Linked DNA regions of Cricetulus griseus. The protein of the gene in region 1 purifies or fractionates together with the protein of each later gene. This does not show direct contact. Links are inferred from orthologs where the notes say so. Each region holds a gene or a part of one and is shown in the gene's direction. Other genes may lie near its edges.

The links.
Region 2: the proteins of Sclt1 (region 1) and Kiz purify together in Homo sapiens (co-immunoprecipitation; 3 studies listed by BioGRID and IntAct, counting the BioPlex papers as one, with this or other methods). This does not show direct contact. The link is inferred for Cricetulus griseus from reciprocal best matches to the Homo sapiens genes SCLT1 and KIZ.

What each region holds. Positions count from the first base shown.
Region 1 is NW_023276806.1:108,279,727-108,284,204, forward strand, and holds the start of Sclt1 (sodium channel and clathrin linker 1), read left to right. Parts: upstream 1-1,640; 5' UTR 1,641-2,062; coding exon 2,063-2,096; intron 2,097-2,100; exon of another isoform or gene 2,101-2,115; coding exon of another isoform or gene 2,116-2,131; intron 2,132-4,478. UniProt on the Homo sapiens protein: Adapter protein that links SCN10A to clathrin. Regulates SCN10A channel activity, possibly by promoting channel internalization.
Region 2 is NC_048599.1:32,106,305-32,110,121, reverse strand, and holds part of Kiz (centrosomal protein kizuna), read left to right. Parts: intron 1-2,174; coding exon 2,175-2,796; intron 2,797-3,817. UniProt on the Homo sapiens protein: Centrosomal protein required for establishing a robust mitotic centrosome architecture that can endure the forces that converge on the centrosomes during spindle formation. Required for stabilizing the expanded pericentriolar material around the centriole.

The sequences.
Region 1 (4,478 bases):
TATAAAACCAAACACTTTAAGTATAAACATAAAAGTTTTATTTCACTATTCAACTTACACAAAACCCATGCATTTTATATAGAAGTTATACTTTGCTTTTTCCATGTATATTTTATTAATGCTGAGTATAATAAGTATTAAATTTATAGCTACTTAGCCAATTCCAACTTACATTACAATACAGCATTCAAATGTAGGGAACTCTCTTTGAGGGGAGTCAGTAGAAGTTTCATTAGAAAGTATTCTACACTGAAGAGGTGGAGCTTGCACAATCAGTGTAACTTAATGTTAAGCTTATGGGCACTAAAAACCAGACCAGGTTGAATCTCCACTTATTCAAAGCTAATTTAAACTTTTGTACAGCTATTACAGACATATAGACATTTTAAAGCTAGTTTTTAGAGGAACAAAGCTAACACTGTTTATGCTAGATTATGGGTACAGGGTTACAAAACTTAAGTTGTTGAACAGAAAGTCCAACAGAACTTCATCTAGAACATACTTGCATTTTGTTTTGTTTTTGTGTGTGTCCCTGTGGGAGAGTGTTCACTCCTGTGTATGGGCTGAGGTTGAGGTGGGGTGTCATTCTCAAATGCTGTTCACATTTTCTTAACTTTTTTATCACCAGGTATTTTCTCACAGAAAAATAAATCTTATTAACATACCTGAACTTTTGAGACAGTGTCTCACTGACCCTGAAATTTTCCAGTTTGTTTAGGCTCCTGGCCAGAGAGCACCCATTTCCCCTCAACCTTTTGTCTGCACCTCCCCAGTACTGGCTCACAGGGCCCTGTCTGGCTTTTTATGTGTGCTGGGAATCCCAAATCAGGCGAGCCATCTCAGGACCAGGACATGTTTAGTGAAACTTTATTTCAATGTGTAAATATATAATCAATTTAAAAGGCTCTAAAAAGCCAGTGATAAACTACTAGTGAACTTTTTTTTATTTTTTGCTAATGTCGTTTTCTCCAGTATTTTTGTATATGTGTATTTGTGTGTTTTAAGCTCTACGGCTCAAATTCACACACCACCACTTCTTAAAACTGGGAATGGTAATTTATCTATCAATACAAGTTTTATTTATTTATTGCAAAATTTTATCCTTCCTTAGATTTGAAGTACCTGCAGGGTTTGCAGGCTAGCCTAAAACCTGACTACGTGACCGGCTTAAATATTCAACAACAGCTCTCTTTCCTAGGAGCAGGAGGGTCACTTCTTCCAGACCCAGAAGCGACAGCTCCAAGCTCACTTGAGGGGGGTCTCCGAGTCACCTCACCCCAGGACCCACAGCCCTCCCTGCACACGCCCCACAAACGCATGGTGTCTACGAAACCAAGACTCGGAGAGCAAGGAAAATATGTATCTAGTGCCTGCTCCCGTCAGTCAGTTTTCGGCTGTCTTACAAGAAGATAGAAGGGAAGAAATAAAAAAATTAAATTGCGCCACACTACCTCAGACACCCGCCGCGGCACTGCGGAAGGCGCCAAGAGGGCAACTCGGCCCCCAGCGCGCTTAGGGCTCCGCCCAGCGCCTGACAGACAACCAATCACCTGCCGCAGCCTGAGGCAGCGCGATGACGAAGGTACCGACGCCCGCGTGATGACGGACGCGGCGTCACCGTCTCCAAGGAACGGCCCGGGGCACCGCTTTCAAAGTCGCAGGGCGGGCCGAGTGGACTCCGCGGCGGCTCGGGCTTCCCCGCGGTCCTGGCGTCGCCCCTCAGCCCCGCGGTGACGCCGCGGCCGAGCCGTCGCGTCCCAGGGTCGCCCTCCCTCCGGCCGGCCGCGCGCCGCCCCGCTGCCCCTTCCCCCGCCCGGGTCCGGCCGAGCGGAGTCTGACGCGCGTCGCCTGGCTTCGGCGGAGCTGCGGGCCGGGCTGCGCCGCCGCGTGAGTCGGATGCTGATGCCTCCGCGCCGGGGTTCCCGTGCCCTGGGGAGCCCTTAGCTTTTTGTTTGCCTCCTCAGCGGGAGGCTGTTTTTGTTTATTTGTTAAAAAAAAAATATCTTACTCCCCCTGCGAGGAATCGGTAAAGGTGATGAAAACTCCAAACTAAAATATCGAAATGGCCACAGAATCCGACTTACTGAGAGACCCACGTAAGCGCCCTATGCCCTGATGGAAAAATTCATCTGTAAGATGCAATGTCGCTGTCGTTGACCTACTAATATGTTTTGGTTGTGGTTGGGTCCCAGCGTGGAAATATGTGGAAAACTTAAGTCCGCTTCACAGAATGCTTGGTGATGTACATGAGATTATGTATGTACTTAGCGAAGCAGAACCGCTGGTAAATACTCGTAGATTCCTTAAGCGTGCATCGGAGGCAGCTAGACACGAAATAGGTTTGTTATGCTTCTCTTGTGCTCAGAGAAACTCGAGGGCTGATGGGCCAGGGAGAGTTTCCAAATCTGCAGTTGAGGACCTGCAGGCACTGCTCTGGTCATTAGTTTAATAGATATTTGTTGAGCTACTGTTTTATTACGTGTCAGGTGCTGTACAAACATAGATGGTGTAGGGATGGAGATTTTCTTGTTCTCCCAGCGTGTAATTGGCGGAGGGAGATACATAAATCCCATAAATACACTGACGCGGCAACTGCTGAATCGTTCGCCTCAGTTACCAAGTAGAGTTGATGGAATTATTGAGTAAACATCGAGGTATAAAGGAGAATAGCATCTGACATATGGTGCTAAACAAACATTGACTATTACACAGTGATTAAATCATGGCCAGAGGAAGATGCCATTTGGACAGAAACTTGACGTATCGATATGTTTACTGATAAGAATGGTGTAGGTATCCCACATATTTGCAACATTGAAGGGACTGGAAGTATGCGTTGTTTACAGACAGCAAGGTTGCCTTGAACAGAATTATAGAGGTTTATTAAGGATTACAGTTCAGTTAGCTACAGCCATCATAGGTAAGAAATAACCTAAGGAGGATGTAGAGATATGAAAACAAGGAGAGAACAACAGGGAAGGTTGGGGAAACATGCTGAGCCCTGTATTGGAAGCATCATAGACCAGAGGTTAAGGACATAATCTCTAAATTTGTTTCTGTAAGAATATTGTCTAGCTCTCACACTTCCTAAGTTTGATCTTGGGTAAAATTCTTAGCTTCCTGTGCCTCTGATTTTGTTTTCATTTGTTTTTCACTTTTGAGTGAAGAACACCCTAACTCTATGTTGTTGTGGTACTTAATTGGGATGATACAAATGAAGCCCTTAGCACGGTAATTAGTACCTGTTAAATGCCCTGTGTACGCCCTGTCTCTGTCTCTCTCTCTCTTTCTCTACACACACACACACACACACACACACACACACACACACACACACACACACAAAATCACTGCACTACAACAATAATGTTATTGCTTAGGTTTGAAGTGAGGAAAACCTCACTGCATAAAGACGAGTAACTAGCCACAATCTCAGTTTTGCTTGGTGGAGGGTTATCTGAATTTTAGAAGATGCATTTTGGAAAAATAAAGCAACCATAATTCTTAGATTAAAAATTGATTTCCAAATACCAGCAAACCCTAAGTAAGACAATGTATTTTCATTGAAAACTGAATGGTAAAAGACAAGTAGAGCAGAAGAAGTTGTCAAATACACAGCAAAGCCTTGAAATCTGTGTATTCAGGAAAAGGGAGGATGGAATTGTAAGGTTGGTATGAAGAGATGAAAACTTCATGTTCCAGTTAAAGCTGTGGGTTGCCCTAGCCATACCACCTCACTGCCTGCTGAAATACAGATGAATGTCGTCCATCCTCCGTCTGTCTGCCTCTCATGTTCTCTATATTCATTGACTTCTGTCAGTCTTACTTCTCACAGGCTCCATTTGTTTTTTGTTGTTGTTTTGAGAAGATCTGGCCATAGATTTTTCTGTGTAGCCCAGATTGGCCTCAAACAAAATACAATAAATCTTTAATTTTTTTTTAAAAAAATCCATAAGATTATATCTTTATATCTTCAGGTTACCGGAGGGTTTCTTTGACAGATTGGATTTTTAGTAAAGAAAATGATATGTTAATAAACATGAGTACTGCATGATACCACCAATGTCTCCAGAAATTACAAAAGCAACTGGTTAGTGCATTTGCATATTTATGGTGCATTTGTTTATAAAATATACACAAAAGAAAACAAGCCAAGTGCAACATTGCAAAGTGAAAAATTCTTGTAATACAATTCAGGTTGAGAAATGGGAATAGCTAGAACCCAAAAAGTCTTGTCCCTCCCTCTTCCTCAAAGATAGTGAAAGATAACCACTGTCTTTAATTTTATTCCTTAATTTAGTTTTTAAAAAGATCATGAACCACATATTCTTTTGTGCTTCATTCATGTTTTTTAATTTGTCTGTATCATCACATATAGATAGAATTTTAATTACAGATACACTTGACAGATTTAATGAATCATATATCTATTATTTTGATAGATATCTGAGATGGTTCTGGCTAGTGGGGTCACTAGG
Region 2 (3,817 bases), on another chromosome or scaffold:
AATAAACATACCTACTGGCTTCAGAGTAATTCATTTGGGTGCCTGAAAAGTCAGCCTCTGAGTGTTGGAATACTCTAGTTCTTTGGACATGATTTTTTAAAAAAAACTTATTTAGCTAATTATAGCTAATTTAATGCCTCTATCTAGTCATTTTAATACCTGGACTTCCTCAGAGATAGTTTTTACTGATTGTATATGCTCACTGTCTATTTGAGACAATGTTTATTATTTCATTTCATTTTTAAATAATTAAATGTGGCAGTTCTGGAATCTCTGCCCTCCAAGAATTTGTTGTTAATTTCTGTTTGTTTATCCATTTTGTGGCTTAGTTATGTGAATGTGTATTATTTTTCATGTGAGGTCACTGAGATTCCTATTAAATTTACTTAATAACCGTCAGCTTTCTTTAATGTCTGGGACTAGGATTCTCATTGCCTTTGCTAAGAGGTTCTAAGTATGTTGGGCTATACCTTGTCCTTTATTTCTTGCTTTGAGCCTCAAAGCAAGCTTGAGGTGAGAGCTCAGGCATTTACTTCCTGAAGTGTCAGTTGAGTGTTCCCACAGCCCAGAGCATGTAGGTGGTCATCTAGATTTCCAGGAGTATACTAGAACCTTCCAGAGTCCCTGACCCCCACAGGCAGCTCTTTGACCAACTTTCCCTTTAAAATGTGTGTAGCCTTTTATTTATTCTAAGTTCTGTCTACTGCCTTAGGCAGCTTCCTCATTAAACAACTGCTTCTGATAATTTTCAGCAAACTTGGCTTGGGAACAAGGCTATTTATTAGCTTCAAGCTAGTTCAAGTCAAAACAGTCTTTTGTGTGCAGTCCTCCAAGGAGCTACCAGATAGTCCACTGATGACTGTTGTCTGGAAATAGGGCCCTTGAAAGAATCCTGCCCGCCTCCCTAGTCCTTTTCAAGGGACTGATTGGCTGGTTTTTGCAGTGACTATGGGTTGTTGTCAACTTGGCCAGCACCTGGCAGCCCAGAAACTTGTCCTTTTCAAGATCTACCTGGTTCTCTTAAGTCAATGCACCCCAGATTCCTAGAAAGCTGATTAAGTCCCAGGGTCTGAAGAGATTTTCGGGATTGTAAACTCTGTTGCCAGCAGAGACTGTTTAGTGCTCTTTAGCCCATCGCCTTTCTCTGACATCCTTGATTTGTTGACTTCAGAATTGGACATGGGTTGTGGTTTTTGTTTCATTATTCCAGGGTTAGAAGAGACAATGTTTGAAGAGATAGATATATGGCCTGGATTCTGTTGTCTCTGACATTTCTGGTCTTGGAAATTGGATGCTGGTAATTCTATGTATAGAGGAAGGGTGTGGATGCATTTGCATTTCCCCATCTGCAGTGTAAGGAAGTGAGCGCTCTCCTGACTGTGGGAGTGCTCTGGTCCTTTGGGGAGAAAAGCACTTAGCTTCTGGAAGGCTTCATGCTTGCTACTTGTAGTTCTGCTTGGTACCATGCACCCCTGTTTAAGCTGGTTCTTTGCTCAGCTTTGCCTATCTTCTCTCCTTTTTCCCTACCCTTCAAAGATGAGGCTTAGGTTTCCTATAACCATGCTAGTTAATTAAAATTACTTAAAAGTTCCTTAACGATGTCCAGGAAATCTTTATGTTAATTTGATTACAATTTAGGAGTATTCTGTGCTTTAATACCATTATGAATGTGACTGCTTGAAGTTTTTATTTTATACATAGCACTAGAATAGAGCTGAACCCTTTCATTGTTTGACCTCTGTATTTCCCTGGCTTGCTTTTTTGTTTTCTTTTTATTCTTTTGTCAAGTCCCTTTATAGTGGTGCTAACTGAGCTCTGTATAGAGTGCTTTTAGAACTCACCACTTTTCAGGGAATGTCACTGGGGTAAAAGATGCATAATCTAAAATGTACTGATTTCATTTTATTTTAGTCGTGCACGTCAGCTGGATTAATTGCATGCATTTCATTTTTCAGAAAAGAATTCCATAGTTCTTTAGCAGTAGTTGTTTTGTACAGTGACACTGTTACCACAATAATAATCTGGACTGTAGTAGAGTTTGCCAATTCATTAAGTGGGAAGACATGTTTTATTGGTGGTAGGTGTTGATTTCCATGGTTATGCTTCCTTTACCAACTTTTCTTTCTACTTAATTGTTCATAAGCAATGTGTTTAACTCACACCTCTTTTTGCAGGTAGGAATTAACTCACGGACAGCCATGTCAAGAGGATTGTATCAACCAGCAACAATCTTTATGGGCCGCCAGATGTCAGCCATCTCAAGCATTGATGATTTCAGCACAGAGCAGAGATCTAAGCAACCCACAAAGAACTGTTCAATTCCTGACCCACATTCACACCAGCAGACAGCCCAGAGCAGCCGTGTGACAGACAGCTGTGTAGTACAAACTAATAGTGACACACAGTGCTTAAATAAGTCTGACAAAATAGATGGAAAGACATCTCTTCAGATTGTTGAGAAAACACCCGTCACAAGCCATGCTTTGTCTGAGGAAGAACAAACTCATTGCTGGGAGATAGGGAGCAGCACACGTCACAGCAAGAGTAATTTATCTGAAGGCAGGAAGTCTGCTGAACTCCATTCCTCGTTACAGGAAAGATTAAGTCCAGAGAACAGAACCACTGATTTAAAGTGTGACAGTTCCAGCAGATCAGAGGGATCAGGTGGAGAAATACTGACACAAGAACATACTGAAGTCAGGGAAGAAAGAGCCAGCCTGCCGGTGCCCACGCTATCAGTTTCAGAACACTGTGCATCTGTTGGAGAGAAGCATTCTGCTTGGAAAGGTTTCTCAGGTGAGATGAGAGCATGAGTTTGTTTGCTGATTTTTCTTAGTGCCTAGCTTTCCTGGTCGTGATCTATAATTTTATCTCTTTGTCTAAAAACAAAGAGATATTGATTTCTTCAACATGTGCAAGGAAATGTTTCAAAAGATGAATTCACTGATTTTTAAAGTCATATGTTTAAAAGTGTTTAAAATATTTTTGAGGACTCAATGGTAGATGTGTACTTATCATATAGGAGGCCCTGGGTTTGTTTGATCCTCAGTACCACTAAATATATATGTATATGTATATATGTTTGTTTGTTTGTTTTGTTTTGTTATTTTGTTTTGTTTTGTTTTTTCGAGACAGGGTTTCTCTGTGGCTTTGGAGGCTGTCCTGGAACTAGCTCTTGTAGACCAGGCTGGTCTGGAACTCACAGAGATCCTCCTGACTCTACCTCCCAAGTGCTGGGATTAAAGGCATGCACCACCAACACCCAGCAAAGTTTATATATATTTTTTAAAAAAATAAATTTTTAAAAGATTTCAGTACTGTAATTGTAATGGTTTCTATGCTTTTAATGCATTTGTATGTGTGCATATGAGCATATTTATCTTGGAGGGTACATGTGTGTGCATGGAGAGAAGCCAGAGGACAAGTATAGGTGTCAACTCAAGAAAGGCTACCTACTTCCTTTTGAGACGAGGCTTCTCATTGGCCTGGATTTCACCAGTTTGTCTAAACTGACCAGCCAGTGAACCACAAGAATGCCCTGTCTCTGCCTCCCCGGCACTGGGGTTATAATCACACCATTAGCCTGCATCTGTATATGCATGCAGGGCATTGAACTCATGTCTTCATGCTTCTGAGGCAAGCACTTTGACTGAGCTATCTTCCAGACTTGTGCTTCTACAGATTTGTTGATTTTGTTTTTTGTCTCTTGTTTTATTTTTGAAACAGTCTCACTGTGTAGCCTTGGTAGGTGTGAATTCTCTGTGTAGACCAATTTGACCTTGAACTCATAGAGATAGATCATCCTGCCTCTGCTGAG